Rhinolophus ferrumequinum: one gene and its partner. The protein of the gene in region 1 interacts with the protein of each later gene in a pairwise test. Links are inferred from orthologs where the notes say so. Each region holds a gene or a part of one and is shown in the gene's direction. Other genes may lie near its edges. The genes, in order: CEBPG and CEBPE.

What was found.
Region 2: the proteins of CEBPG (region 1) and CEBPE interact in a two-hybrid assay, tested with the Homo sapiens proteins (2 studies listed by BioGRID and IntAct, with this or other methods). The link is inferred for Rhinolophus ferrumequinum from reciprocal best matches to the Homo sapiens genes CEBPG and CEBPE.

What each region holds. Positions count from the first base shown.
Region 1 is NC_046298.1:34,550,166-34,566,870, forward strand, and holds the start of CEBPG (CCAAT/enhancer-binding protein gamma), read left to right. Parts: upstream 1-9,935; 5' UTR 9,936-10,133; intron 10,134-16,279; 5' UTR 16,280-16,373; coding exon 16,374-16,705. UniProt on the Homo sapiens protein: Transcription factor that binds to the promoter and the enhancer regions of target genes. Binds to the enhancer element PRE-I (positive regulatory element-I) of the IL-4 gene. Binds to the promoter and the enhancer of the immunoglobulin heavy chain.
Region 2 is NC_046289.1:73,645,445-73,661,125, reverse strand, and holds CEBPE (CCAAT/enhancer-binding protein epsilon), read left to right. Parts: upstream 1-7,356; 5' UTR 7,357-7,922; coding exon 7,923-8,432; intron 8,433-8,991; coding exon 8,992-9,327; 3' UTR 9,328-9,526; downstream 9,527-15,681. Other genes in the region: SLC7A8 (large neutral amino acids transporter small subunit 2), read left to right, coding at 1-69, 598-758. UniProt on the Homo sapiens protein: Transcriptional activator. C/EBP are DNA-binding proteins that recognize two different motifs: the CCAAT homology common to many promoters and the enhanced core homology common to many enhancers.

The sequences.
Region 1 (16,705 bases):
CAGAAGGTAATGTCTGCTTAGGACATTGTTGTTTGCCTACACTGATGCTTTCTCCACAGGCTGAAGTGTCTGCTTCTCACTTAATAAAGCTGAGAAAATTCAGTGTTCAGTTCTTCATTCCTCTGAAGTTACCTGAAGCTTGGTGATCACACCAAAGCCAGCAGGAGTCATGGAGTCACAGGGAGACCTCAGGCCCTCCAGGCTGAGCTGGGGTCTGGCTGAGACATCCAGGAGGTGATGCCGGGGCCCTGGGTTCCTTGCTGGTTTTGCTCTGTGGGATAATGTAGGGAGAGGCTTTCCTGTATTTTGGCTCAGAGCAAAAGATCTTATCTGCAAAATCACAGCACTGTGCCTGGTCCAGAAACCATGAAAGAATGAAGCCTGGGATGACCCATTTACTGGGTGAGTGCTATGAGGCGCCAGCACTGTTCCTTACCTTCCACAGGCTGATGTGTCAATTCAGAGTCTATTTTCAGACAGGACATCTGCCCCTTTAAATTTGCTGCAACCATACAAGTAGTGAGTGTGCAATTGTAACTTGAATCCATCAAAGCCCATCATTCTAGTTCCTTTTTTTTTCAACTCAAGAGTTTTTTATTTTAAGTTGTCATGGGAAAACAACTCTTAATAAATCCCTTTAAGCACAGGGAACTAGGGCAATTACTGACATTTTAAGAATTATTGAAACAATTTTAAAGTTTTGATTTATGTTCTAAAAGACATAACTAATCCTTTTTTCATTTTCTATTTTTTTTTTTTCTTTTGGGAAGGGCTTCAGTGAATTTCAAGGGCAGACATTGGGCTCACAGACTGTTCAAGTCTAATTAATTAACTGGTTTTGCCCACAACAGTCACACCTGCAAAACACTGAGGTTGTAGCTAATCATCTGAGATTCTCCCACACTGAACTAATTGCACACGCCCTTTTGGGCCATGACAGATATATGTACAGGTTGAATTATAAGAAGGGAAGGCACACCCCCAGAGGGAAATCAAGTTTTGTTTGTTTGTTAGTGACTCATCACTTTAGCCATGGATTCAATATTCAATATCTAATGTAAAACATTAAAAATCCTGAGGTAGTACCTTGAAGCAAAAATACACAAGTCAGGTTAACCAACTGCGTTAGCATTTTTGTACGAAAAATTAGATTAGAAAATCCCACAGCTGGAAAAAGCAGTGGTGGAAAGATCCCCACCATGGTGTGGCTTAGAAATCCCTGGGTGAGCAAATCTGAGGGGGCTGGGTGGTAGGTTTCTTTCAGTTTATGATCAACAGGAAGCTGAAGGCCAGTCAGCTTCGGGCGCTGGAGAGGTCCACCCATGGTGGGGACATTCACATGGATTGTTCACTGCATTAGAGCATGCATCCAAAAATGAGCACAGAATTTATGGTAATACTTGCGTTTAACTTAAAAAAAAAAACCCAAAAATTTAACTTAAAATTTTTTTTAAGTTTTAAGTTTTTTGGGGTTTTAAAAAAAAAACCCAAAAGTTTAACTTAAAAAAAAAAATCCATGCATTGATAAACTTTGAAAAATAGGATAATAGAAAAATACTTGACCTTGAAGCCTCTCTTGGAAAAAGGACACATTACAGCAGGTTTTAAAAACTACTGCAAGCCTTATCAGAGTCACAGTTGAGTAGTGGCATGCAGGTCTGGAGTACAAATACAAAAGTTAAGTGTCAGAACAGGCCCTGGCATGCCTCATGCACCATCAGACGCATCTCTTCTTTGGCACAGAAGTTTGGAATTCACTGTTCCAAGGGGGGGAAAAAAAAACAACCACTTGTCAGTCCAAACCCTGGACACTGATACTGGCAGCCAGCTCAGTGATCATTTTCATGTGTGACTCAAATGATTTCTAAAAGGCAAGACAGCCTTCTCTGTGAGGCTCAGGTACCGACGTCACCTTCCAAAGGTGCACCTTCCAGCCCTGTTTCCTACAGGTTATCAGTGGTAATCAAGAGGAGTCGGTTTCTTTGGAGACGCCCTGTGTGAGGTAAGAGAGAAGGGAGGAGCTAAAGGAGGGCCTACGAACACCAAAGCAGGCCAAAGGAGTGATTTCCACTTCATAGTCATTGAGGATTCCAGGAAAATCAAGTGGTTGAACTTGAAGGGCTGAGACTAAGTGCAGTACAGTCATCAGGACCTGTGATTGTCTAGGGCCGATCTTCCATTTTCCAGGGCACAGTGGCCCAGGTAAAACTGAAGTGGAGCAGTGTGTGCCCTCTCCTTAGAGGACCCCACAGTCACCAAGCCCTTCTGAGGTGGGGCCAGGGCAGCAGCTAACTCCATCTCTGAGTTGCCCCACGAGTTTGAAAGTGCCTCCAGACCTTTGCCTTCACTTTTTCAGCAATCAGAAAAAGAAAGTCACATGAAGAATCAACTGCTGATGAAAGGTTAATTTGTGGGCGGTCCTCATTATCCTAGAATAAATAGTAGCAAAAAGAAAAAAAGGAATTGGAGTGAATCGACTTAAAACAGGAACCAAAATTTCATAGTATAGTGAAAAAAATATGATTGGGGCTTTGCCTTGAAAATTAAACAAGTGTTACAAAGAGTCGGTTTTTTTTTTTTTTTTAATTTATTTTTAATTTAAGAGTCGGTTTTATATTTCAGAAAACTTGGGTGATAACTGCAATTAGGCACAATTAAAATGAACAGAATGAGCCAGGTGTTCCGTTTATGGTTTGTGATGATATTCTATAGATTTCCTTTCAGGCTTTTGCAATGTGATGACAAAGAGGGTCACTTTATTAATTTTCCCAAGAGCCTCCCTTTGCTCTTTAACTCATTTTCTTTCATATCAGTATCCTTTATCCACCGATTTCCCTTCCTCAGGGGTTAACCTGTCTGAATCTTGCCCTATCCACCTCTGTCAATGTCTTTGCTTGTAAGTAAGACAAGCCACCAATATGACTTTCACAGACCGTGTGAAATCTGGCCTTTTCTGCAGCTTCACTTCATGGTAGATCTGCTGTTTGTGTATTCTATTCCACTGACCCCTCAAAATGGATCCCTTATTGGGTTAGGAAATGTGTAAGTGAGGGTTAATTTTAACCATGGCCAATTCATGAAGCATAGTCATTCATATTTTCATGTTATGACTCCCTTATGTCTCCTGAGCAACTTCATAAATATCAGGCTTTAGATAAAGAAATCTCCTTTTACTTCCCCGAAAGGAATGTTTGCCCATTTATTCTTTTCCAATAACACAAGCCTTTAAAACTATGACTTTTCTTGAGTAACTAAAGCTTTGACTATAGCCGCAAAATTTAATATATACTGTCCTCATAATTTTCTAAACATAGCTGAAATTGCCATTTTTATTATATCTAAAATTTATTATACCCCAAAGATTTTTTTATTGCAGTAACAATGGTTAATAACATTATATAGGTTCCAAGTGTGCAACATTATAATTCGATATCTGTATACACTAGTGCATGCTCACCATCAAAAGTCTGGTTTCCATTCATAACCATATATTTGACCCCCTTTACCCATTTTGCCCTTCCCCTACTTTCCTTCCTCTCTGCTAACCATCAGTCTGTTGTCTGTATCTGTGAGTATTTTTGTTGTTTCAGGTTCCACACATGAGTGAAATCATACTATACCAAAGTTATTATTTTTTCCCATTGTAACTAGTAAGTATCTTGTGAGGAGATACTTGGAGAATATGTAAATATCCTGTTTCTCATGCTTTCATCTGTTGATTTTAACATTCATTGACGATTGATACCTGCAACAATTATTCCTGCAGTGTTTGTCTAATGATAATTGGCTATTTCAGTCATTTTTCTGCATTTATTAATTGGAATTTGCTGTAAGGAAAAGCTGTTTCTTCTCTGCTATTTATTTGTTTATTTAGTAATTTATTTACATCAGTATGAGCTCATAGATATTTATTTTATTCGGCACGTTATCATTCATTACTATTATTTATTTTGTGACTCAAATTGTCCCACATCTAGCCATTGGGAACTTCTTCAAATTAACTTCTATGTTCTTTTGAAATGTCCCCATCATTTTTTGAGCATTTCTTTACTTCTGGCACCATGAAATGTGCCCGATTCTTCTTGTCTTTTCTCTGCCCATCTCTGGAAACAACCAGCTCTACAAGAAGCCCTAGCTCTTCTCACTGTAAAAAGATATTTAGAAACCCTGATTTGGTCTCTAGGTGGGATCGTTGCTACTGGGGTGTCATTGCTTCTAAGTCCTCTCAGAGGACAAAGCTATATATACCATATGTATATGTATATATATAGTCTGTCACACGCACACATCCATATTTATTTCTACTTCAATCTGTGTATATACTACAGTCGATTTCATTCTGATAACCTCTGTTTCCAATTTAATACCACAGGGTTCACTGTAGTCTTCCTCTTTCCTTATTTGTTAACTCCTTTCTCCAACAGTGGGAAGCTTGCTCTCATTATCCAAATGTATTTACTTATTTGCTCAGTCCTAGCATACACATAAACTAGTTCCAGAATTGCTACCATTCCCCTTTGAAAAATTTCGTAGCTACTGCCTATTATTTGTGGTTCTTTTTCTAGTTTGCCTTATCCAATCAAAATGCTATTTTCTAAAGTTACTCAGGTTAGTTCCTCTCTTCGCCACAGTGCTTATTTGTTCATTTGCAGTGCAGTTAGGTTCGTAGGTTACTGCTTGTATTTCACCTTGGGTTCCTCCCACATCCAAGTTAGTGTTCACTATTTATTTCTGAGGTGTGTGAAACCTTACCATGGTTTCAGAGTCAGAGCTGTACAGAAAGGTATACTCACAGAGGTATCACCGTCCCCCTCACCTCTGCTACCTTCTTCCCACTCCCCATTCTTTTGATCCAATTCCAACTCACCCTCTGTAGGTAACCAATCTCATTAGTTTCTGGTTTATTTTTTCACGTATTTGTTTTGCGTGAGGGATCCCCTATCCAATCTTGACGGCAAATGAACAGGTACAATGGCCAAGACCTTAAAAGGACATGATAACAAAGGGTAGAGATTTCTCAAGGATGAAGGTGTGGGTCACCCCAATAGGTAAGCTGCTTAGGCCAGAAGAGTGCTAGCCAACAGTGAGGGTGACCTAGAAGGGGGAGTAGGGGAGGCAGGTGATGAACATCAGTGCGCCTTGGGGCCAGCAGCAGCCATCGTTCATCCGCTAGCTATCTTCTGGCAAATTTCTCCAGCACAGGAGACCATCCAAAACTCCGGAGAAGCTATTCACAGATGGGATTAACTTCTTATAAGTAATAAGTGGATTCAAGCAGTGCAAGAGGTAGACTGCAATGGACGCCGTGGTGCACCCCTACTCAGGACAAAGTCTCTCATCCCCTCCAGCTGTGTTTTCTAAAACCTCATACGTACACGACACAGCAGTATGTATGTAAAACAGAACCTTACCTTTCTATAAGAACAGAGTATGACAGACAAAAAAATAGCAAAAAGCACACCATAATGTATATCTTAATGTTACATGTATGCCATGAGAAGAAAGAGTAAGGCCAGCAAGAACTTGAATAGTCAGCAAAGGCCGAGAGTTGAGACTTGGCTTGGGGCTTGAGGCATGGAGAGGAACTGGCTACGTGGAGCTGAGAAGGAGTTGTCCGCCAGATAGCACGCCAGAAGTAGTGGGCATTCGTAGCTTTCCTCAATTGTTCTCCACTTCATACCCCGCCACCCCCCCCCATTTCTCTCTGCCCAAGACACACTCTGATCTCATAAGCTCTTCAGGCTGCTGCACCTTTGGCTTTACCCTGGTTGAGGCAAGATAAGGCTAGAAAATTTTTGAAAGGACATTTACTGTTTTGGCTCTGAAGTTTGCCCAAGCCTTCCCACCTGTGGCTACAGTAGGTCTATTTAACAGTGACAGAACAAATCTCCAACCTCCATCACCAGGTATTTCTTGGCAGCTCCTGGGACCCCACTATAGTGTACCGTACCATTGGTATCGCCTATCATCAAAGTCTCTGGAGGACAGGCCCCTTAGCACGGCCTCTGCTTCAGCTTTTTTTTCTCCAACTTGTTGCCCATATGCCAAAGGGGGTTGATGCCTGAGGTTCACAAAAACACAAATCCTAGAGACGTTAAGCAGTTCTGCATTCACTTCAGTTCCTACCAGGCTGAAGAAATGGGGTGGTTCACAATGATGGGGGAAATGCCACTCTCTTCATAAGGACTACAACAGCGCTTGTCCCTTCAAATCCTAGCTTTCCCCCAAAAAACCTTTGCAAGGGAAAATGAAACAATCTCCACCTTCCTCTTCCAGCCCAATTCCCCCAATATTTATGTGAATGGATGCTGGTATCTCCACCCACCACGCCCAAGTAAATCTGAATCCACGTTTAAGCTTGCACAGGAACTGATTGTTACTATAGGAACCTAAAAAAAAAAAAATGTAAAAGGAAGAATCCATGAGAAACGCCTAGAAGATTCCTGACTCTAAGCCAACAAATTCAAGCACCACCCAGCCTGGTGGTGCTTTCTTGGCCTCCTTCTCATAGGCTGGGCACCAGCCTCCCACTTCCCCAGCCCCAGTGCCTTGTTCTGTAGGACTGCCAGCGCTTGGGACAGTGCTTGGCACAGAGTGGGGACTCAACTAATAATTGAGACAGATGAAAAAGAATGCAGGAGTGAGTACATGGGACAAGCACATGCCTCTGTCCAGGAAGCTTTCATTTCCTTCTCATCTCGGCCTTGCAGCTCCCAGAGATTGACCTGGCATGTGGACCTTCTGAGGACGGGTCCCTCAGTAGCCCAAAGATGACTCCCAGGGCTTCCACATCCTCTGGCAGCCCCACAGTGCTGTCCCGCCGCCTCTTCTTCCCTCTTTGCCACCTCCTCCCCTCCTGGAGGAGTCCCTGCAGTCCTGTTCCCCCGCTCTCTGGCTCCATTTCTCTGCATGGCTTGGGTTTGCCTGGCAGAGACACAGTCACCAGTAGTGAGCAAGGTAGGACTTGCGGCTCAAAGCTTTTCTGCGCTCAACGTCCTTATCAATTTAGCTGAAGTCTGTGCTGCCTTTGATTTGTTAATATTTCAGAGTGTTCTGTTTTAAGTTAATGTTAACCCTGTAATGTATCTCAAATGCTTTTTTTCTCCCCTAAACAGATTTTATTTTTAGAACAATTTTAGTTGCAAAATATTGAAAAGACTGAGATTTCCCATTTACCCTGCACCCAGTATCCCCCATTATTAACATCTTACATTAGTATAGTATATTTGTTACAATTAATGAGCCAATTAATGAGCCACAATACCAAATAAATTAAAGTCCATTCTTTTTTTGGATTTCCTTAGTTTTTATCCAATGTCCTTTTTCTATCCCAGGATCCCGTTCAGGATACCACACTACATGTCTCCTTAGGATGCTTCAGATGGTGACACTTCCTCTGACTTTCCTTGTTTTTAATGACATTGACAGTTTTGAGTAGTACCGGTCAGGTGTTTTGTAGAATGCCGCTCTATTGGAATTTGTCTGGTATTTTTCTCCTGGTTAGACTGGGCTTATGAGTTCTTGAGATCAAAGAGGTCAAGTGCCATTTTCATCACGTATCAACATGGTGTATGTCTATTGAGTGAACCTTGGTCACCTGGCTGTAGCAGTGTTTGTCAGGTTTCTCCACTGTAGAATTTCTCTTTATTTTTCCCTTTCATGCTCTGCTCTTCGGAAGGACGTGCGGGCCACACTAAAAGAGTGGGGAGTTATTCTCCCCCATCTGAGAAGAGAGTATCTACATAAATTATTTGGAATTCTTCCGCATGGGAGATTTGTCTCTTTTCTGACATTTATTTACTCAATCATTTATTTATATCGGCATGAACTCATGGATATTAATTTTATACTTTGGGTTATAACCCAATATTACATTATTTATTTTGCCACTCAAATTGGCATTGGGGCTCTTTGGACACTGGGGCGGGGCTCTCTCATTTAGCTCCTTTGACATCCTATTATGGACTGAATGTTTGTGGCCCTCCCCACCCCATGTTCATATGTTGAAGCCTTAATGCCAAATATGATGGAATTATATTTAGAAATGAGGACTTTGGGAGGTAATTAGGGTTAGATGAGTTCATGAGGGTCCTCTCATGATGGGATTGGTGCCCTTATAAGAAGAGACACCAGCTCTCTCTCGCTCTCTCCTCCCTGCATGTACACAAAGAGATCATGTGAGCACACAGGGAGGTGGTGGCTGACTTTCCAGTGGGACACTGTGCTTCAGCCACTCTGGCCTTAAATTTCTCCCATCACAAAGACCTTTAGGTAAGACATTCCCTCTGACTGGTACATTCACTTCATGGGTATCACTTAGACAAATCCTATTCATCTTCTTTTAGGCCTTCCCTGACCTACACGCCAGATTTGATTCCTTTCTTATAATCTCTAACAGCATCTTGTACTTCTTTCTCGTAATATAGTTAACAGAAAAAGTGTATAATTACTGCATGTCTGTCTCTTTGGCTCTAAAGTGTAAGCTCCGTGTGGGAAAGGGCTGTGTTCGTCTTATTTGTTGCTAAATCCCCACAGCTTAGCACATAGTTGGCACACACACACACACACACACACACAAATTGTAAACCAGCAGAAGACAGAATTCCCAGCTGAATAGGAAATACTCGTCTCCTTGGCATTGACTAGACCTGCTGAGTGTGGGAGAAGGCTTTCCCAGACAGACGAAGAATGCTGTGCCAGCTTGGCAGAGTGGTTAGCAAACAAGAGAATAAATGAATATACCAATACAATTTTTTTCCTATACAATATTTAGGTGATTAGGCAATGATCAGGGTAAAATTACGATTTTTAAGAGTACAAAATATAATCCAATTTTAATAAGCTAACATTTTGATCAAAGAAATTTCAACTCAGAACAGAGGGCCAAAGTGAAAGAAGCATACTGGTTTTGTTGATGTGTTACTCTACCAAATACGCTTCTATGTTTATCGTTGTTCATATTTAGTTGCAGTCCTTTTATTTTTATTTTTTGCAAATGTTTTAGCATGTCTTTTCTGATTCCTCGAAACAGTCTTAGGCACAAAGCTGGTCCCATGGCTTGGGCGATGAAGAAATGTTTCCTCTTTCAAAGACTATTTTTTGGACGATAAGAATTGCTAAAGAGGAAACAATCAAACCTATCGGGCGAGCGGGCTCTGTCCTCCAGCCAGCGCGCAGCTTCCTGGTTTTCAGACGCTTTCAGATCCTCCTGTGAATTGACTTAGATAAACAAAGTTGGAGAGCCATTCATTCTTTGAGATCACGTCTCTCAATCTGTTCACCTGGCAGACACCACACGGTAATCGATCATGGAAATTCAATTCGTTTCCTCCAATAACGAACCACAGTCTGCAGTGTTCACCAATGTGATATCAACACTAATCATAGTTGGGACAATTTTGCTTCCTTCGTTTTTCAAGTCCACAGTTGTCTTCATAGCCGTGAGGTCCAGGACTTCTCTCCAGGTTCCATCCGAGGGGCCCGGGCCCGTCGGAGGTCAGGCGTCAGCGGCGGGCCCCACATCCTGGGAAGCGACTCTAGTGGGCCGTTCTGGGAAACTGTCCCTGTGAGGGACGCCCCAGGACCTGGTGAAACCAAAAAAGAACTCGGTGATTCAATCATCTTAGGATATTGCGCTTTCCAAAGATAAGTGTTGCCTTCACAAAGCTACGCTTCTCCAACTTCCACAGAGCCTTTCTTACAGCTGGGGTTTACCCCTCCGGGCCGCCGGCCCACGCGAACAGCCGAGGGACCACGGGCGGCGCTGCGAGTAACCATCTGCTCCCGCCACGCCCGCCAGCCCCACCGGCCGAGGCCAACGCCTCCGCCACGTGCCCGCCTCCCGCAGCCAGGCCACCCACGATTGGCTGGCGGCGCTGCCCGTCGCGAGGGGTGGGCGAGTCGCCTGCAAGCCGGCCCTCCCATTGGTCGTGGCGGCGGCGGTAGCGCGCGCGGCCCTGGCGACTAGGGGAAGCCGGTGGCGGCGGCGGCGGAACGGGCGGAGGCTGCGGGTTTCGTAACTATTGCTCCTCCTCGCTGACTCGTGGGCTGCGAGGCCTGGGTCGGGTCGGGCCGCGCCACGCGGGGCCGCTCGGAGTGGAGGCCGCCTGGGGGCGGGCGGGCCGGAGGCTCAGGTATGGAGGCCGCGGGCTGGCGGGCGGGCTGAGGGAGGAGGAGGCCGCGGCCGCGCCGGCTGCTCGCGTGGGCGCGGGCCCGGCCCGAGGAGACCTGGCCGGGTCGGAGGCGGCCGGCTAGCCGGGAAGGCCCCGCGCGGCCCGCGGCGCGGGCGGCGGCCCCGCGCGGCGTCTGATGCAACCTGCCGGCAACACCCGGCGGGGACGCTGAGCTCATCCCTGGCCGCCGCCCAGCGCCGCGGCGCCACCCGCGGACCCCGGGCGCCCCTCTCTCGGGCGCCCCTCATCGCCGGCCCTAGACGGGATGAAAGACGAGGGGCGCCCACTCCAAACCCTGGCCCTCTGTGAAACGTGTAGTTGTGACAAGCCAGGCTCGTATTGGCCCCTGGGGATAAAGGGTGTTCCCAGAATAGCAGGAGGTGGACCATATCTTATTTTAGTATTACATGGGATGTTTTCTGACCCGCCAAAACGGCTCAGTGTGGAGTCGTCGGGAATTCTGTTCAGAAGTTAATAGAGTGATAAAGTAGCCAGGGGAACCAGTGGATGTTTTACCTACGTGACTTTACAGAAATACTATTATGCTCACTTGTGGAGCTATAGTTTGAATACCCTGCAGTTTACTGTTGAACATAGGTGAGATGAATGTGCAACAGCCACGAGTTGAATAGTAAAGAGAATGGCAGGAAATGAATTGCTTCCTTAGCTCAGTGGAGGGAACACAGTAAGGAAAATAGCCAGGAGAGGTGTCTGAGATGGAGAGGATGGATTAGCAGGTTTGAGGGGAACGGGAATCTTTTTTTTCCCCAGTAGGCTTGTATGTTTGTTTTCTTCAGAAGGTGTAACTGTTTGGTTTTCCTCTTGTCTGAGGTTTATGCTTAATCTGGCATCTTAAAATGTGTTAGTTTCAGAAAGGTTTTAACATTTGTGGGTTGCACAAAAATTGGTAGTTCTGTCTCTGAGCCTACACTCAGTTGAATCCTTATTTGAAGAGATCGTTCTTTAATTCAGATAGGCTATGTGACTCCCAAAGAAATTTTTGAAGTAAAATACGATAAACGCTTGATGTACTAAGAAACTCTGCATCTAAAAGTTCTTCATATTTAAAAGTTAACATCTGGTCAGTTATTACCACTTAAGTAATATTTGGGATAAGCTATTCTTAAAGTTGAATATTTTTGGAAGAATTTACTGTAAACAAGGTTAAATAATTATAGAATGCTAGGGAGCTGAATTTTTCAGTTTCTTGATTCCTGCTTCTGGTGGGCACACGTGGCTGATTCAGTCATTTTTAATATCTGCTGTAAAAAAAAAAAAAGTGGAAGCCTGCATTTCCCCCCACCCCCAGAATATCCTTTAAATTCTCAAGAACACATCATGACTGTCAGCAAGGTTGTCTGATCATGGAGAGGTGGTTTCATCCCTAGGGATTTAAATAGCACATGGGGAGTCCTTGGTAAAGACAAATAGGACCTCATGGGGCTGAATTTGGTCTTATGTTCTAAGATTGTCTCACCTGATCACAGTAATGGTGAATGCACGTAGCCGCAATTCCAGGTTTATTGTGTATTCTTGGGAGGGGACACTTCGTGGGTTCTTGTACTGGTAGGTACATTGATCTCCTACCTTTTTGGCTTTCCAGGCCTATCAATAAAAAAAAAGAACATGACCTACTAACAGGTGTATATTTATAAACAATGGGTGTAGACTATTTTTTGTATGTTGTAAATCAAACCAAAAGTGGATTTAAAAAAGGACATTAAAAAAAGACAAATGAACATACATTTGTTTCTCATACTTATGTACTCCCTGAAGGGATGTACCCTCTTTCATGGACCCCTATTTTGGGTCATGAAGCAAGCAGTGGTAACTAAATAGAAATACTGCTCATTTGGGTGTCTGTTGACTTTGCTTGCTTTTGACTTCACTTGTAGCACAGAGTTGTCAGATCCTGGCAACACATGTCTAAGAACTTGACATTATTAATTGGAAAACAACCGGGCAAAGTAGAAAGTGAAGGCTCTCAACTGACATGAAGCAAAGACCAGACAAGAATGAATACAGTCACTGTATAGACTGGGGACTTGAAGTAGCAAATGGAACTAACTGTGTTTTTATTTTCCTGTACACCTTTTAAGAAAGACCAAGAACTTGAGGTAGTAAGACCATGGTATCCTAATAACTCTTGATTTAATTGCAGTTGTTTTAAGAGATTTTAAAGCTAGAGAGTCTCATTTTCATAAGACATTTATAAAAATATGTTTTCTCTTAGCCTTTTGATCCTGTATTCAACAAATACTTGTTGAGCACTACAAGTATTTTGAGCACCACAGGGATATTATATACCTAGCCCTGCACCAGATTCTGGGTATGTGGAGATGAAGACAGTCTTGCCTCGAGGTTAGTCTACAGGGAGACACGCTGTAGGGCTGGTGTTGACAAAGAAATGGGGGGAACGAGCTGGACAGAAGCACAAAGAGAAAGCACGGACCATTTAGGGGACTGATAGTGGTTTAGTATTGTTAAGGTGTGAAGTGTAAGGGAGTAGGGATTGGAGAGAGGGTTAATACCTTGGATTTGATCCTGTATGTTGGAGCCAAAGAAGAATTTTCAGCAAGAGAGTGTGACACACTCAAGTTGGAGTGTTAGATTGCTCTGGAGACAGTGTCTGGAGGGATCACTGAGAAACCAGAGGAGACTAGTGCCCCTGAGAGATGATGTCAGCCTGAGGTAATTCTGTGGCATGGGGATGGAGAGGGATGGTGGATGTGAGGTTTTTTGGGGGGTGGAGTGGGGTCGGTAGAATTGTCCTGTACCAGTGATTGAACAGAACTGGAGCAAAGGAGAAACATCTATGAATATTTTGGAGTATAGACCTTCACTGAGGAAATTTGAATGAAAAATTTATTTGGGGGAACCAGGGAGGAATATTTGGTTGTGTACGTGAAAAAGAACGACAAGGGGATTAAGGAAAATTCTTTTTTTTTTTTTTTTAACTTTTTTATTTTATTTAAGTGTGTTTTTCCAGGATCAGCTCCAAGTCAAGTAGTTGTTTCAATCTCGTTGTGGAGGGCGCAGCTCACAGTGGCCCATGTGGGGATCGAACCAGCAACCTTGTTGTTAAGAGGCCCCACGCTCTAACCAACTGAGCTAACCGGCCGCCCCAAGGAAAATTCTTGACGGGTTTATTTTCCCAAATGGAACTTGAGAAAAATTTGATTTTGTTTTACATTCTAACATCTTTGTGTTCAGCGTGCTACTGATTTGAATGAGCATTACTTGAATTAGGAAAGCTGAAATTTAAAACAAGTTGCCCACGTAGTCCATCTTTCTTAAGATCTATTGTTAATCTGCAGCAGTGGCTCCCAAACTTCAGTTTCATCCGAATCTCTTGGAGGTCCTGTTAAAACAAGTTTGCTCGGCCCTATTCCTGATTTCCTAGATCTGGGGCAGCCTGAAAATTTGTACGTCTAACAAGTTCCAAATGATGATGTCACTGGGTCCAAGGACCACGCTTTGAGCACTACTGCTCTTCAGTTTTTCTATTGCTTCCTGCTTGAGTGATTCACATGGAAGGAAACAAGGCGCCACCCTGCTTCCTGTAGACTGAACTTTGTAATAAATAGTATTTGTCCGCATAGGAACCAGACTTTCATTTACAGCTGAATATCCAGATTTGAAATTAACTTATTTTTTTGCACGTGGTAGGTGCTCAAATGTTTGTGGAAGGAACAGAAGCACAAATGGCAGTGTAAACTGTAAAATGGGTAACTTTTAGAGGCAGCTGTTTGCTCAGTGTAAAAATAAAATTGATAATCTGTTTGGACTTAACGTCTTTCAGACCACTTAGTTCTCCGACTCTTTTTACTTGGTTCATTTTCCTTAATGACTATCTCTTCACTTTATCTTGGCTTCTCTTTGGTTGAAGAGCTTTTTAAAAAAAAATTTTGGAGTTTTTTAAATTATCTCCACGTTTCCCTTTCTTACTATTTACCAGTTTGACGATTCTTTGTTTTTCAAGACAAAGGGCTCATTTTCAAAACCTCGCCTACTATGTTCAGCCTAGTACCTTGGCAGGATGGGTCAGACTGACATAAAAGAGCCCTACCCTATCTTTGGGTACAAAAATGGGCATGAACATCACTGAGTTTGGAGTTTCACAAGAGTTTTTAGTTACTGTATGAAGTTCATGCTATATTGTCAGAGTTGGAAGGCATTTTACCATTCTACATCCCCCATTTGCAGAGGGGGAAATCGAGGCTCACAGAAAGGAAGGGATTTGTCCAAAGTGAAACAGAGAGCCAGAGCCAAGACAAGGATTGACCTGTTTCCTAGTTTGTACTTTAGATCACTGTTATCGCTGAGTTAACTATAATAGAGATTCGCTTTAAAGACTAAATGTATAATTGGTATATGAAAAATAAAAAAGATAAATAAGATAACATGATTGTAATTGTTAAGAGGATCCCAGAAGAGGTGTTAAATTAAACGAGTTCTTAAAAATTGAGTAAAACATTTAAGTTCCCTTTACACCAAATAGGTAAGCAATAGTGCAGACGGTTCGTGGTAAAGGTGGCTCAAATTAATACTCAACTGCCAGTTAACTGGGTGAAAAAATAGACAATAAATTATCAGGAAATTGTGAAGTGTCCATTGCTGAGGGTAGATTTGGAGTATATATCCATCGTGGCTTGGAAGGAAGCTTTCTGTCTTGCCATAGTACTGGAGTGAGAACAGATGACCCATTAGCTCAGGACTGCCTGCATGGCTTTAAAAGCACTGGAAAGTAATGCTATATGGACTTTTTAAAAGCAAAGATTTAAAAAAGCAGGCAAATAGTGTTTATACAGAAATGCCTGGCTAAAGATTTGGGTGAAGCTACTGGTGTTTACTAACAGCTTTTCTTAGCTGTGACGAGCTCATTGAGGCATTTCATAATTGTGGCTCCAGGTTGTTTTCCATGATGTAGTTTTAGTAGTTTTGTGAAAAGAGAACAGAATAGTTTTATGGTTCATAACACTGCTTTCTAAAGTTTTAAGAGTGCTGTGACTTCTTGGTAGACACGGTTCTCTCAGCTTAGTAGTCAATTTGCCTTGGGATGGCTTTATGATGATAGGATCGGTATGGCTTTGACACATCTTGAGGCAGTTGTAGTGCCCTAGCTGGTTTATAGTAAGGCAAGTGTGACTCGTTTCTGAAACTGCCTTCATTTCTGCAGGCCGCATTGCCGTCACATGTCCTCTGAGCGCCTTCAGCAGCATGAAGTGGGGGCCGGCTCTGCAGCTGCCCGCTCAGTCTAGCCCCAGTCCCGGTACTTGCACTCCCTTGGATGCATCATTAGGGCTTCTGTTTCTTTCCTCGTGGTTTTAGGTTGGCGGCATAGCTGTGTTTTTGAATTGTGTCAAGAAGAAAAAAACACTATTAGAAGCATGGTGAGATGGGAAAGCAAATTGGGTGCCTTCAGCAATCCTAAAACTGTGATCCAAGGAGCTAACTTAGGAAATTTCTGTAAACTATCATTTGAGGTCATTGAAAAAATAAAAACAAGTGAAAATACCTTTTCAAAATATCCCATAAAGATTTGCTCTGGGAGAAAATTTTGGCAAATCCTTGATGACTCACTCGCTGCATATGGGAGTAAGGAACCATGTGGCCATCACAGCGTTCCTGATAAATACTGGGCGCTGGGCTCCCCTACAGCAGGATTCTGTTTGACTTGAATCAACAATTGAAACTTAGCCCCCTTTCACTGCAGGTGTCTATTCTATCATAATTGAACTCAACTTTTCCATGTTTAACCCAAACATCTCAAATTTCTCTGGCAGATTGCCAAGTGCTCTTAGTTCATATGTGCTACCTAATTAGTGGTATTCTTTTGTTTTCCCTCCCATTTTTGAAAACAATCACAGATGGGCAGTACCCTCAGGGGTTCAGGTGGGCTGAATTTGGCCCGGTGGTGCTTCTGTACTAACCTACCTGTCTCGATTAAATGATTTAGACTTCTGAGACACTGCAACGGTTGGCAGTTGCCGTAGACTTTTCTCAGCATAATCAATCAATGTTGGTCTGCCATTAAGTACATGCAAGTTTAATCTCATTTGATCTTGTCATTTCAAATATTTTAATGCAATTTATTCCTTAACTAGGTATATGTGAAGATTTCTTGGCAGTGTAGAGTGGAAACCATTGATCACCTTGCCCTCATTTCTGCCTATTCTGTTGGCAAGGGAGAGTGCCCAAATGAGCAAGATATCACAGCAGAACAGTACTCCTGGAGTGAATGGAATAAGTGTTATTCATACTCCGGCTCATGCCAGCGGCTTACAGCAAGTTCCTCAGCTGGTGCCCGCTGGCCCTGGGGGAGGAGGCAAGGCTGTACCTCCAAGCAAGCAAAGCAAAAAGAGTTCTCCCATGGATCGAAACAGTGATGAGTATCGTCAGCGCAGAGAGAGGAACAACATGGCTGTGAAAAAGAGTCGGTTGAAAAGCAAGCAGAAAGCACAGGATACACTGCAGAGAGTGAATCAGCTCAAGGAAGAGAATGAACGGTTGGAAGCAAAAATTAAATTACT
Region 2 (15,681 bases), on another chromosome or scaffold:
CAGGAGTGCCTGTCTATTTCCTGGGTGTTTACTGGCAACACAAGCCCAAGTGTTTCAATAACTTCATCAGTAAGTTGTTGAAGGCTCTGGGTGGCTAGAGGGCCTCCTGATCTGGGCCAGAGTCATGGGCGGGCAGGGGAGCCCCACCAGAATCAAGAGGCTTAGGCTGGGCCCCAGAGCTCTGGGGAAGGCATTGGGGGTGAGGAAAGGGCGGGTACCTTCCCAGGGTCCTCTAAGGAGAGAGCAGCTGATGTTTCCACATAGACTTCAGACCTGTAGGTATAGGCAACTTGACAGCTATTCTGCAGGAGCTGCCCTGGGCTGGGTAGAGACCAGTGGAGACCGTGGAATTGGTGGTCATTGGGCATAGGCACAGTGGAAAACTGCAGCCTTGATGAGCAAGGGGCAGCCGGCAAACATGCTGCCCACTGACACAGGAGACAGGTGAAGTGGCATCTCCTGGAGGAGGTGTCTCCTGAAGGCACTTGTGGCTCTGCTGAGGCAGAACCCAGGGCAGGAGAGTGGGCAAGGGCATGACCCACCAGGCTGGTAGGACACTGGGCACTGACCTGGTTCCCGTGTGACCTTCTTCCACAGAGTGGCTAACCCTGGTGAGCCAGAAGATGTGTGTGGTCGTGTACCCCGAAATGGATGGGAGCTCGGGGACAGATGTGATAAATGAGGACATAGAAGAGCAGCGGCAGCCCATCAACCAACCCATTGTCTCCAAGGCCAAGGACTCAGTGGAACAGTCCTAGCCCTGAGGACCACCATCCCCACTCAGCTGCGTCCTCCCTCCTTCACCTCCTTTTTGCTCTCCTTCCCTGCCTGGGTCCCCCCAACACACACACACACACACACACACACACACACACACATACACACCCTCTGCTTCTGTCAAGCAGGGGCAGGAACTGGGGGTGGGTGGTGAGAAACTATAAACAAAAACACTAACGTTTGTACCCAAAGAACCAGAACTTCACCCCCAGGACCTGTGTCCAAAGCCCAAGGCCAGGGCTGCCAGTGCTCCGAGCTGCTAGAGGAGAGTGGAGCTGCAGGAGTCCCCATAGGGCCCTCCCTCTTGGGCCCACACCCTTGTTGCCTCCTCAGGAGCATGAGTTCAGTACTGCCTTCCTTCCCCATTCCTGAGCCCAAGGGAGGCCTCAGCTCCTCCAGAAGAGGCAGCAACAAGCAAGAGTGAGCCATTTGGGGAGGGACAGACTCAAGCAAATCTGTCACTATTAAAGGTCGCCTGGAGAGACTAGTGTCCCCTCCCTTCACTAGGGACCCAAGAAATCAGAGGCAGTACTTCCTTCTTCCCTCTTCCCAACCCCTCTGCACCGTGCCTCCACCCTCCCCAGCATGGGCTCCCTGTCCAGACTTAGATTCCTGTCAGGACAACCCCCGACTGAGCTAAGGACCAACAAAGCAAAATAACTGCCCCTCCCCTGACGCCCAGCCAGCCTGTGGAACAGATTGGGAAAGGCTCAAATTGCAGAAACCCAGCCCTGCCCCTGCCCCTGCCTCCTGCCCCCAACTGGGTGCCAAAGCTTCCTGAAACCAGAAAGATGTCTCCTAATGACAAAGCAGCTCAGCTCCTCCTCGCTCCCCACCCCCATGGGAAGGAGCAGGCACCCTGTCACTCTGCAGCTATGCTCCCAACATACCCCCACGCAGCCAGCACTGCCTGTGCCCCCGTCAGGCCCTTTTCCTCCTCTCTGGACTTTGGCTCCAGGACCTAGGACTGGGTGTGAAGGCTCCCCAAGCTCTTCAGGCCTGAAACCCGAGCCAAATCAGCCTTAAGTCACCTCCCATCCAAGAACTGGACCTAAAAATACTCCCTGATTTCTAACCTTCAGGGCAGACTTGGTATGAAAAGCTTTTCCAGGAGGAAGGGTGCTTTCCCATCTCCCCGGAAGTACCCATCCCATAACCTCCTAGACTGGGGAGAAAGTGTATTCTGAAGGCCAATTTCTCGCTCCTTCCTCAACTCAGATAACCCCACCCTCTTTTCCGGTTCCACCTCTGTCCTGTCTTTGGACAGCCTCCAGGGCTAGGTGAGAGGGGAATAGCAGAAGGCACCCACTTTGGAGCCCCTTGGAAAGCCTGTTGTCCGTGGTATATGGACTCTGGCAGAGGCTGCCTTTCCTTGTGCTCCAAAGGAAGGAGGCAGTGTTTGCCCTGGGCCTCGAGCCTTCCCCACCACACCTGTTGTGCTAAGGACTAGGATCCTTTTATCCCAAAGCAGGAGTTCCTCCATTCCCCCAACTCCCCAGCCCATCTGCTTAAACTGGAATACTCTGGGAGCCCTCCTGGCCTGCTCAGGTCTCCCAGCTTCTGGCCCAGCCCCCCTGACCCTGCATTGGTGAGTTGCCAGGTGTGGTATGAGCTATGGCCCCTTCAGAGTGGACTCCAGGTGGGCTGGGGCTGGCCCTTGGAGGGTTAGGGGACCATCCTCTTGTTCCCCCTTCTCATTCCTCCAACCTCATTTCCCCCTTCAATTATTGTTGTGTTTTTTTGTTCGTAAAGTGGATGCCTTACTTTTTGGATAAATATTTTTGAAGCTGGTATTTCTATTTCTTTTGGATTTTTTTAATGTAAGGTGGTTTTGGGGAGTAGGGAGTTAGTTATTCCTGGATAATAATCTTCTGTCTTTGAGTTGGTTTAGGTTTTAGAGGGTTTGTTTGTTTTGTGAAGGGTTTGTTTGGGGGGGGCTTTTCTTTTGATGTAATAAAATGTAAAATGGAGATGAAGTCGATGGTATGGTAATTCAATGACCTTCTGAGACAGAGTCGCCAGGTATTTCCTATCTTGTTAGGAGATCTTTGCTTGCCAGATTCCTTCCAGGATGCCATTCCTCAAAGCCCTCGCTCTGTCCCAGCGACCCCGTGCCAGCACTTTCAAACAGCTACCTCTTGTTTTGAACCAAAACTCGCTCTCATTTCTTCCGTGAAGTCACAGTGTTATGACGTTCCTGCTGTGTGCCGTGCAGAGAGCTTGCAGACTAGCCGGCTGGGAAGAACCTCGTCACTACCCAAGGTGGGCACCAAGTGCATGGAGGCAAAGGCAGAGGTGGTCCCCAAGGCCCGGTGGTCAGCAAAGTCTTCTGGTTCCAGGACTGCCAGAGCTGAATGGCAAAGGAAGGGACAGCCTGAGTTTGTGCAGAGACACAGAGGGGGATCTTGGAGAGCACCCAGCTGGGCCCAAGAGCTTGAGGGGAGGGCCTGAGAGGTGACGTGGGGTCTACTTAGCTGGAGTCGACTTCCGCAAAATAGGAAGATTTCTAGGTGGAAGAGTAGGAGGACTTGTACTAGCACAAATGAAGAAGTGGTTAAGGTAGGGGCTAGGGCCTCCCGATGCTTTGGGTTAATTGCTAGAGGAAGTTGACAGGATTAGACCCTGTCATTGCTTGGAGTCCCTCCTTTGTGGGCATCCCTCCCAGCTGCCTATCCTGGGACGGCATCATCCCAGAGTCAGCACTGCTGGAAGCCACGGGCAGGAGGGGGCCCGGGGGTGGAGGGGGGTTAAGACATCACCCTTCACACCTGGGACACTGTGAGGACACAAGCAGGCAAGATGCCTCCACTCGTGTCCTCCCGACCCCAACACTCCTACTTTGCGGTTGACGTTCTAGACTAAGGTTGGAGGCTCACCATTCACAGGGGCACAGGCTTGGCTCTGAATCCCAGGTCAGCCACCACACAGCGATGTGTCCTTGGGCATGGCAACCAGTTTGGCACTTTTAGAGGGCAGGGGGAAGAGCATTGAACCTAATTCCAAAGTGTTCCTCAATCTCCCAGCCCAAGGTTGTCCCAAAAGAGTGAGGGCAAAACTAGGCAGAGGCCAGTCTTGTGCAAGAGACCCTTCTCTAAGTCTCATGGCCACCCTTTGGGTTCACCTCTTCCCCAACAAACACTTTTCCTTTCCCTGGGCTGCACGAGGTCTTCTCCATGTCACCTCATTCTGGCAAGTCCGGCAAGTCTCCAATCTCCTCTCCATAGAGACACTTGTCCCTGGGGGCCCGCTCGCTCGCGCGCTCTCTCTCTCTCTCTCTCTCTCTCTCTCTCTCTCTGTCTCTCCCCCTTTCTCTCTCTCTCTCTCTCTCTCTCTCTCTCTCTCTCTCTCTCTCTCTCTCTCTCTCTGTAAGGTGACACTTGCTGATCTTTTCAACTTGGTCAAATGGGCAAATGTGGGTCTCCGCCTGAGCAACATGCATTTATTTTTAACCTGGGCCTTTCCCCTGTCTTAATCCTATCAGTCGCTTTAATGCTAGGAACTCAGATACTCAGACCTCAGGGAACTTGGGAGCCTTTTGGAGGTCACTGAAATCGTAGCTGCTTAAGTATTCATTAATTAATACAGTCACACAACAAATCTTTTTATAACCATTGTGTCCAGGGATTTTGCTATATGCTGTGGAACAGCAAACTTACTCTTGAATTTTTCAACTCAGCACAGACTTCAAATATTTTGTTTCATTTTCCCCATAAGAATATTCATACACGTCAAACCACCTGTCCCTAATTTTAATTCGAGCATACGGTCACTACAGCTAAAAAGGTCCGAAAGATGTATCTGACCCTACCCTCAAGGAGCAGATAGTCTCCAGGGGAAGAAGGCAAGAATGCTCATAGCACAGAGACGCGTCCTTACCGCGTCACTCACTGGCCACTCCTGCTGGACCCAGGGGCTGAAGCTGCCAGATCCCTAGAGCCTGCATAGGGCCTGGTACCTAAGTGTTCAAAAACATTTGTCAAATTAAGGCATCAGATGAGGCTGCAGACAGTGTATCTGCTTAGGAGACACAGATAAACCACAACAGGTGGTCAGCGGAAAGGCAGAAAGAGACTGAACATTGCTTTCTGTACATTATCTTATGAAAGTTTAATTAAACAACCTGACAAAGTAGGCACAACTACTGCCATTTTACAAGATTAAGTAACTTGCTCAAGGTCACCGAGATGATGACAAAGGCAGAATTCGAGCCCAGTTCTCTCTGACATTACACGGCCATGCTCAGCCACCTCCCTGTTGGAAAGACATGGTGAAAGGGATGGCCTTTGAACTGAGGCCAGTGACAAAGTAAGATAATACACGTGCATTGCTTCAATTAATGCAAACAGGTAGCAACTGCAGGGGCAAGATCTGGCTGACCAGGGAGGCTTTCTTTCTGCTCCTGAGCGACTATGCAGAACCCAAGAATCCCCCAGCCCTTGACTGGCACTGCCCTCCCCAACACCCTTCCTACCCAGCAACCCCTTCTCCCCTGCCCAGACATCAGAGCTTCTCCTGCCCAGCCAAACCCCTTGGTTACTGGGAAGCACTGATGTCAGTGTGCCAGCAACCCCGTCAGCCACCAGCCTGGGAGGTGAGGGACGGAGATCACTTATCTCCCCATGGCCGGAGCTGCCTGATTTTCTCATTTCCTGCCAGCTCTATTTGCACACCTCCCTGCTTCCTCCAGCGCTGGTTCACTCACTACTGACGCAGTCTCCCTCTCCCCCAGGGTGGCTGACTGAGAGCAAAGAAGGCTCTCTGAATCACACAGCTCTCCCTTCCTTATCCCTTCTTGCCTTGGGGTTTCAAGAACTAGCCATGGCCCTTTCCCCCAAGATCAATGCTGTATCCTTGTATGACCTTGGGCTTCAGCCTCTCTGCCTTGTTTTCCTCATTTATAAGGCAAGGATAAAAATACTGTCTGTCTTGCTTACCTTCCTACTTAACTCACAGGGAAACTGTCAGCATGGAAAAGTATGTTTCAACGATGGAAAGCATCACACCAGAAAATGCCAGGCTTTCGCTGTCATCACCAGTATTTCACAGTTGGGGAGGGATAGGATTTCTCACTGAGACAAAGCCCGGGCCCCAGTCTTCTCAGCCTGCCCACTCTCTCTGTGCCTGCACTGCAAGCCCTCATCCCAGCCATGTTTCCTCTTCCTCCTTCCCTACAGACTCAGCCTGTCTCGTGGGTGCCAGGGCTGTGGGAGGCTGCCCTCTGTTGTCCACCTGCTTCCTGGCCACCGCGGCCCCTCAAGTCCTCAATTTTGGACCAATATTGTCACCTGGTGGTCAACAGAGGCACTGCTGCCAAACTGAAGTAACTTGGCTGTGGTACCTGTCTGCCCAGGGTCCTTAGAAATCAGGAGAAGGCGGAAGAAATCTCCCCTCCTGGTTCCCGAGATCTGTCTCTGGGATGCACACAGATCTTCCCATGCCAAGTCAGGGCTTTCAGAGAAAGAACCTCAAGCCCTGCACAGAAAGCTCCTGGGGTAGTGCGGGAGGAGAGAGGGAGGGAGAGGATACTAACTAGAGGGGTAACTTGCCTCACTTGTAGGCAGCCCTGTCTACATTTGCATACTTTCTTTTAGTGTTCAATGCTACACATATCCCCTCTGCATTTGCCCCGCTGTGGCCTGGCCCTTGGTGTGCCTACCTTATAAAGCCTTCCACCTCCCTACAGGGTACCCACAGCAGTTGCTAGTGACAAAAGAGCCAGTGATATATTTCTATGTGTCCTTTCCTTGTCACTGGACATATAGTTCCTTTTATAGTAGATGAAATTCGACAAGTGAAAGCAGGGTCACAGCCAGTGCCTCTGACAGAAGGGAGTGGGGAGTTCCCAGAGAAAAAGAAAAGGGAAGGAAGAGGGAACCCAGCATGAGACTAAAAGTGCAGAGAACAAGCCCTGGGATTCTCCTGTAGACCCTGAAACAGAGACCCAGGAAGAGGTGATGACAAAAGACAAGGCTTCTCAAGCCTCACAAGAGGAAGTGGACCCAAGAGACACATCAAGGTCAGAGAACAGCCATGAAGAAGGGAAGACAGCAAACTGAGCTATAGCGAGTGCCTGAGCCCTGCGGCCGGGCACAGGAAACTGGGCAGAGCCCCAGGACCAGAGCAGGGCAGTGCGCCAGCCTGAGGCTCTGGCAGCACAGCACAGCTGGAAGAGAAAGGCACTGGAGCCACCAGAGGAGTGCAGTTTTTGGTTCCTGGGGCAGCAGCCTGCCTGGGCCTGGGGCACAGAGCCCAAGTCCTGCCCAGGGGCTTCAGCCAAGCCAGGCACTCAGGGACAGTGCCAGGCTGCTAGAGCCAGCCAGGGCTGGCAACACATGAGGGTTTGGGCTATTGCACAGATCTTGTGCAAAATCTAGCAAATAAGCATGCTCTACGCCACAACACATGCCCCATGTATGGCTTGCTCCCAGAACTTATCACGACTTCCTAGACCCCTTAAACTCCCCCTGGCATGCACCCAGGAGGATGACCTGGGAGGTGGGGCTACAAAAGGAACGGACTGCCCCTGGGTGGGGGGGGGTGGAGCCCTTGGGGGTACAGAGAGGGAGGCGTGTCAAGGGAGGAGCTCAGCCCAGGCTGGGGGTCGGCACTGTAGGAGGGTGTTCTCCGTTCGTTCTGACTTGCCACCTCATTCTGCAAAGAACTTTCTGGAAGTCGGAGGGAGGAGGCTACTCAGAGGGAGGTGTTGCCCTCGGCGAGGACTCTGGAATCCCCTGGACTCGACAGGGACTGGAGAGGCATTCCCAGAAGCATCAGCTCCTGGGAGGTTCAGAACTCTGGCTTGGACCCTGACCAAAGCGTGCCCCAACCGCTAAATAGTCCGGGGCCCCATTTCTCTAAGGCCTGCATCCTTCCCTCGGGGTGCGCCCTGCCCCTCCCTGAGTCACCCCAGGGAGAGAGGGGGAAAAAAACGGAAGAGAAAAGAGGCATTGACTACAGGGGAAGGAAAAGGAAACAGCAGAGGAGGGAGGAGAGAGGCCACACAGGAGTGGGTGACAGAGGAGACCGAGAGGGCAGATCTAGGGCAGATCTAGGGCAGGGGGAGATAGAGAGAGGGCAGGCCAAGCATCCCACGGGTGCCCCAAGAGCAGGGCTCAGGGGCGGGGAGCCCAGGGGGCGGGCCGGCCATGTCCCACGGGACCTACTACGAGTGTGAGCCCCGGGCTGGCCAGCAGCCACTCGAGTTCTCAGGGGGCCGCGTGGGGCCCGGGGAGCTGGGGGATATGTGTGAGCATGAGGCCTCCATCGACCTCTCGGCCTACATCGAGTCTGGGGAGGAGCAGCTCCTCTCCGACCTCTTCTCTGTGAAGCCAGCACCAGAGGCCCGAGGCCTCAAGGGCCCCGGAAACCCTGCCTTCCCCCACTACCTGCCGCCTGACCCACGGCCCTTCGCCTACCCTCCACATACCTTCGGCCCCGACAGGAAAGCGTTGGGGCCTGGCATCTACAGCAGCCCAGGGAGCTACGACCCCAGGGCCGTGGCCGTGAAGGAGGAGCCTCGGGGGCCCGAGGGCAGCCGAGGGGCCAGCCGAAGTGGCTACAATCCTCTGCAGTACCAAGTGGCACACTGTGGGCAGACAGCCATGCACTTGCCCCCAACCCTGGCAGCACCCAGCCAGCCCCTGCGCGTCCTCAAGGTAAGAGCAGGTCCATTCTCCTTGCCTTCCGGGGGGCTGGAGAGCTTCCTGCTTTAATTCTTAACGGGTCTGTGTTTGGTGTTGCTCTGTGAAAATGACCCACCCCGAAGCCCTCTGTGCCCACCACCCAACCATGACCCTGCTTTGCTTCTCTGTGAATTCACTCCCACGCTGAACCCCACTGTGTCCTGCAATCCCTGTGAACATCTGACCTACTCAGACCTCAGCGCCCCCACCATCAGCTTCTCCGCTGCCCACCAGCCCCCTGCTCTTGTTTCTCTACCTCCGGCTTCACGAAGGGGAAATGCCTGCTGATCATAGAACAGGAGACTGAAGTGTCCTCAGAGAGCGTGGGAACACGAAAGAGAGTTGTGGTCAGAGCAGGGACCCCATGCATCTGGCAAAGCAATGGCTGCTTTGACTGGGAGCCAGGAGCTGGCTCTAGATCCCATGTCCCTTGGATGCCCAAGGGAGCTCTGGCTTCAGGCATTCCTGCCCTGTCGCCACTCCGCTTCCTGGCCAGCCCTCACCTCTTGTGCTTCTGTACCTTCCCCTCCAGGCCCCTTTGGCCGCTGCCGCACCGCCCTGCAGCCCCCTTCTCAAGGCGCCCTCCCCAGCTGGCTCCTCACACAAGGGCAAGAAGGCGGTGAACAAAGACAGCCTGGAGTACCGGCTGAGGCGGGAGCGCAACAACATCGCCGTGCGCAAGAGTCGGGACAAGGCCAAGAGGCGCATTCTGGAGACGCAGCAGAAGGTGCTGGAGTACATGGCAGAGAACGAGCGCCTCCGCAGCCGAGTGGAGCAGCTGACCCAGGAGCTGGACACCCTTCGCAACCTCTTCCGCCAGATCCCGGAGGCCGCCAACCTCATCAAGGGTGTGGGCAGCTGCAGCTGAGCCCAGCCGGCAGACTGTGGGCACCAGCCCCCTGGCCCAGCCTGACCCTGGGGACCCCCACCCTGCTGGGGTCCCAGAGCCCCTCACAGGCAGAGCCTGAGACATAGACCATGGACAAATGGCAGCGGGTGGCAAGGGAGGAGGGCAGGCCTCAGCATTATGATTCTGTGGCTGAATAAAATTGCACTATGACTCAGTGCTGGGGCTGTACTGTGTGTGTGTGTGTGTGTGTGTGTGTGTATGTGTGTGTGTGTGTTTCCTTGTGTGGCATGGGGGACTCCAAGGGCATACATGTAGCTCTTGATTCCATACCCAAATGAATATTTGGGAGTATTCCCAAATATTCAGCAGACTTGCTACCCACAGATCTGCCCCCAAGAACTCCCCTGGCCAGGCTGTGAGCCCGTCACTCTGTTCTCTTCTCTCCTCCCCACCACTGACTCTGTTCTCTGGACACTGAAGGCACCTCTACCCCCACCCCACAGGACCTGGAGCAGCCTCTGATTACTGTCCTAACAGAGCTCTGGCTTGGAGGGAGATCCGGCACCACCCAGTCCCTTCTGCCCAGGCCTGCTGACCCCAGCCTCTCTCTCACCTTGAGGTATCAGTCTGGGAGCTCCTGTCCCAGGTGACCAAGGGAAAATTGCACATGGCTCTGCCGTGGTCCCTTAGCTCTTAATCCAGCCTCGATCCCTTTTCTTCAGATCCCCAGCTTCAGTCTACCAGACTGACATGCCTCCACGGCTCCTTTCCACCCACTCCCATCTTTGTCCCTTATCCCCTGGGACTCAGGTGCCGTAAAGCATGAGGATCTGGGTGCTTGTGGGATGAATCTGTTGGGAAAGGCCTTGAGTCCTGTTTGCATATGAGAAAATTGATGACGAGGAGGATGACACCCACCTGTGCCAGTGAAACCCCATGTTGAAAGCGTTTGCTTTATCACGGAACTCTCGCCTAAGAAGCAAAATAGTACAATGCTTGACAGCCTCAGTTTGAAACTCACTCTGCTATTTATTAGCTGTGTGACCTCAAGCCAGTTACTTCTCTGTGTGCCTCAATTTCCTCATCTGCAAAATGGGAGTATTGCTAGTCCCCACCTCATAATGCTGTTATGTTTACAGATCAACAGAGCCTGGCACAGGGTCAGCATGAATAATTGTTATTATTCCATTTTGCTAGATGTGAAAGGACCTCAGAGATCTCATCTAAACTTCTCATTTTGCAGGTGAGCAAAGTGAGGCCTCAGAGAGGGGAAGGGACCTACCCGGAGTCATGAAATTGGTTAGAAGCAGAACCAAAACTAGCTCCATAAAATCACAGATCTCAAGAGGTGCTGGAAAAGACCTCAAGAGATCATCCGGTAGGCTTTACCCTCAGACAAGCAAGATAGTGTGAGCCACATTTTGTAGATAAAGCAGTTGAGGGCCAGAGGGGATAAGAGATGGTCTCCTGAAGCTCACTCAGTCCCTTTGCTGTCAGCACAGGGCACCTGTCTCTCTCCTCGGCTCTCACACCTCCCCTCAGAGGTGTACAGCACACAGTGGGGCACCTGAATCCCATTCGTACGTTATTGGGAATGCCAGACAGAGACAAGGCAAGAGGCACAATTCAGGCTAGTGACAGTCTCTCCTAGGTCACTAATGACTTGTGGGCCACTGCTGAGAAAGCCTGGGAATAACTTTCTGAGAGACAGAGAGCCGGGGGCCTGGGGCCTCCCTGTTCTCTCGCTCCACATTCCCAGTGTGGGAATGTTCCCATACCCCCAGGCATCTGTGTGCACCATGCCTGCCTTACACAGGGCTCAGTCTCTTTCCTGCCTTTACCTCCCTGTCTCTCAGGCACCATCTCTCCTACATCTGTGCCCTGGATCCCCCGCCCCAAGTCTGGTTTGGGCAGACAGATCTGAACCTCCCTAGGTGGTTTATTCCCTCACTTGCCAGGGGCCGCCTGAGTTTAGAAGGGGGAGGTGCCAGTCTCTGTGGATGCCTGGGAGAATCCTGCACCTTCCTTTCAGCCCAGGGGGATGGGTTGCACAAGGGGGGTTTGTACAGAACATGCTGAGTGACTCAACCTCCGGATTTCCTCCTCTCAGCTCAAGACCACTGCCCCTTGACTTATTTTCAACCCCATGCTTCTTTCCCACAGCTCTGAAGTGTGTCTCCTCCCAGCCCCCACCGCCCCATTGGCTCCTCGGGACAGGTGGTTGGCACCGGGACTGGAGAAGAGCCACAGCCCAACTGGGAGAGAAGGACATGCCTGGCCCCAGTGGGACGTGGAGTGACAGGCACACCTCAGTCCTCTGTGGCAGATCATATCCCGGGGAGCTGACAGGCAGCCAGAAGCCACACTTTCGGAATGAGGCTTTTAACCTGACCTAAACTGGTTTCAGCCAAAGTAACTTATTCAACAAGTATGTGTTGAGCATCTTTCCTGTGACAGACCCTTGCAAAGTATCCAGAGCCCTGCAGTAACCAAGACAAACCCAGCTCTTAGCTGAAGGGGCAGGAAGAAAAAGGCAACAAACAAGGGTGCTGAGTGCCTTCCTCTGCACCTCCTTGGTCATACTGCCGTGTTCCAGGTGGGACAGGAGAGTGAAGTTTAGTGCTTGTCCCCACCCCTCCCGGACAGGACTGGACTCTCCACAGCTCCCCCCGGCCCCACTTCACCACTCCTTGCTGCCTTCCCTTCATCCTGTTCCTTCACATCTCTATATAGCACCTTAATTAAACTCACTAATTACTCCATTTGAATATGCCCATTAGGGAAAACACATAAACAAACAAGTAAGGAGGCTATTTTAGCTGGAGTGGTCAAGGAAGGCCTCTCTGAGGAGGTGACTTTTAAGCTGAAACCTAAAAAACTTCAAGATGGAGGCAGATGTGCCAAATTAAGGGGAACATGAGCAGAGGGGAGAGCAAATGCTAAGGCCCTAAAGTATATGGGTCGGGGTGGAGTGGAACGAGAAAAAGAAAGCAAGCCCAGGGGAAGCTGGCAGGATGGAAAGGAGCAAAGGGATAAGCAAGTTGTGAAACTCTGCTCATTCCTTCCGCTGGGGAGAACAGTCCCTAAGAAGTTGGGGTGGGATGAACAAGCGGGCATATCTCTGCTCCCACCAAAGGCAAAACAGATGGCAGAAAGGAGGAGTCCCCAGGAAGGGAGGGCAGTTAGCCAGCCCTCTGCCTGGGGAAAGGCTGGAGGCCTGGGGATTCGGTAACTTGGGAAAACCAGCCAATCAAGGTGCAAATAGTACACACATGCATTCCTATTGCTTTACAATCCACAGCTTGGGCCCGGTTTTCCTTCATGAGCCAACCTGGGCACCAGGATGAGAGTCCTGAGCTGACAGATAGGATCACAGGCCCCAGGGAAGCCTCAAAGGAAGAAAGGCTATTTGGAGATACCACGAAAAGGGAGGAAGCTGCCCAAGGTGAGCCTGCCAAGGTCAGTCCGTGGTGGAGGCTGCTTGTGAAAGCCGCTCTCCCTGCTCCGTGCACACCTCCCCACCGCACCCCACCCCCATGGATTGCCACATGCCCGGGCCCCCAGGGCCCCCATCCCAGTGTTGCAAGATCCCGGTTGGGGTTGTGGGGGTGGAAAGGGGCCTCTTCACCTCCACCCCCTACCCTGCCCCAAGCCAGTGAGGGGACTACGGGATGGAAGGGGCAGTAGAGGAGATGCTGAGGCAACAAGAGCCAAGGATGGCTGAGGGCCTGTGCACCTCCTCTTCCACAGGCCAGTCACTTCCCATTACCCTCAACCTGCCCCTAGCAGGCAGACCTCTCTCCTCTCAGGACTCAGCCTGGGCTGCTCCAAAGTGGGAACGGTCCAACCTGGATAGGACTCCTGGCTGGCTTTGTCAGCTGCTCCTATAAGCAGGTCTGGCCTGGCCTTAGAAAAACTCTAGTGGCACATAAGAAATTCTCCAGAGCTACCCATGGGGAGATGGTGGGTATTTTTAAAGGAAAATGGCTGGAACTGGCCACAAATTCTGACTTCAGGGAGCAGCGGGAAGGTCCTGGGACTTGGGGAAAAAAAGGCTGCCTAATAGGGAGAGACCCACCTCCAGAGCTGTAGCCTCTTCTCTTGTAGAAACAGAGATCTGAGGTAGGTAAGGCAAGCCATACATAGATTGGATCCATCCCCCATGTCCCATCAGCCAAGCTTTACCCCTAACCAAGCCCCAAACTGTTCAAACCCTGTTGCCCCCACACCTAGCACTGTCCCCCTGGCCAGGCCATCCAACCCTGCTGCAATCGGGACGGTTTGCAAAACGCCTACTAGCTCCCGCTTTGTCACCATCTGAGGTTAGGACTGTACTTGGGAGATAAGCCCAGGCCCCACCCGCCTGTCCCGAGTGAGACTGCCGGCCTGCTGCAATCGGGACGGTTTGCAAAACCCCTGCTAGCTCCAGCTCTGTCACCATCTGAGGTTAGGGCTGCACCCCAAGATAAAGCCGAGCCCCGCCCACCGGCTCTGCCTTCAAACCTCACAAGCAGCAAGCAGCACGGCCAAGAGACGGAACTCCTGGGAAGCCCACTTAGGGTCTGGAAGCCTTACTCAGGCCCAGTGAACAGCCCTGGTCCTCTCCTCACCTCTTCTCCCCTTCATCCCTAGCCTCACGGTCCCCATCACTGTCCTCTCCCCTCACTCTCCATCTACTCGCCTCACCTTTCCTCCTGCCTCAGCTCCCTCCTGCCTGCCTGCCTTCATTCATTCTTTGGCTTAAAAAATACTTCCCACCTACACCTACTCCAGGCCAGGCACTTTGCTTGTTATGGGAACTACAAGATAAACAAGGAGCATGGTCCCTGCCCTTGGGCTTCCCAATTCGTGTGGGGGGGGTGGGGGACGGGGACAGACAAATGGAATCTCTCAAATAAATATATAATTCTAAACTGTGGGCAGTGCTGTGTGGCAAAAGTAAAAAGATGACTGTGACCGATATTAACAAAGGCACTTGATTTAAATGTGTGAAGAAAGGCTTCTTTGAGGAAGTAACATATAAGCAGGTATCTAAAAAGCGAATAGGAATCAATCTGGCAAAAAGTGGAGTTCCCAGCAGAGAGAAGTGTGTGCAAAGGCCCCCAGCTGCAGGTCCTTCCCAGTCACAGGGGCTGGGGAGGTGCAGGCAGACGAGGCCAAAGGTGGGGAGCTGCCGTCAGAAGGGCTGAGGGCACATCTCGCTTGACGGGATCTCGGTCATCAGAGGAACCACCTTCCAAAGAAGAGGACATTCCTCTTCCAACAGGAAAGAAGGGATGGCCGCAGACAGATACCGACGCAGACAGGTTTGCAGCAGGCTGAGGCTGGCTTCTATTTCACCATGAAAGAAGTGACTGAGCAGCAGGCTCAGAGAAGGAGGCTTGAAGTTCTGAAACACTACTTGATGAGAGTGGAAGAGGGAGCTGATTGCTGAGATTTCTGACTTGGGAGCACCCAGCTGAAGACAATTTGACGGTGACAACAATCTGTCCTCTGGGGGGATTTGCTTCAGTGGTCCTTTGCTGCTCGGGAGCAAGTGGGCTGACCCAGGGAGATGAGACATGGAGATGAGACAGCCTGGGAAAGGGGAGCTGAGGGCACTTACAGAAGCGGGATTTAGTAGTGAACCTGGAACCTAAGGCAAATGGGGAGAGATGAAAAGACAGGAAGGGCCAGTGGTTATTCATTGAGCTCGCAGAACAGCTTGAGTGAGCAGACTTGAGCAAACAAACCATAAGGAAAGGAGATCATATCAGAGAGGGGGATGTTTGATTCAGTTATTTCATAGGTGCTGCAGTTTCTGGTGATGATAAGGCTCTGCACATGACTCTGGAAGTGGCTTGCTAAGGTGGAATGGAGAGGAATGTGAGAGATGAAAGGGGGAAGGAACTGAGAGGTCAGCATGGATGAATGGAGCAGCCATGCGGCTGACACTCCAGCTGGGAGGACTGCTCTGCTCAGCCCCTTCTCTCCGCCTCCCACCTCCTACCTCCTCTTTCACCTCCACCCTTCCTCATCAACACCCTCTTTCCTTACCCCTCTCTAACTTCCTGTCTTCAGGCCCATTCACACCTTCATGCCTGTCCTCTCTCACTTCCATCCTCCTGTCGAACCCCACCCTCTCTTATCACCTCCATCCTCTCCTTTCCCATTATCTCTCCTTGGCTCCACCTTTTCTCCTCACCCTCATCTTTCTCATCCTGTTCCTCTCGCCACAGCTTTCTTTCTCCTCCATGCTGTGCACTTGAGAATCACTCTTGCATGGTGAATTCAACCCTGTGCTCCGGAACCTAACTTTGTGGATTCGAATCCCACGTTTACCACTACCCACAATGACTGATTTTGCTGTGCCTCAATTGTAAAATTGAGACA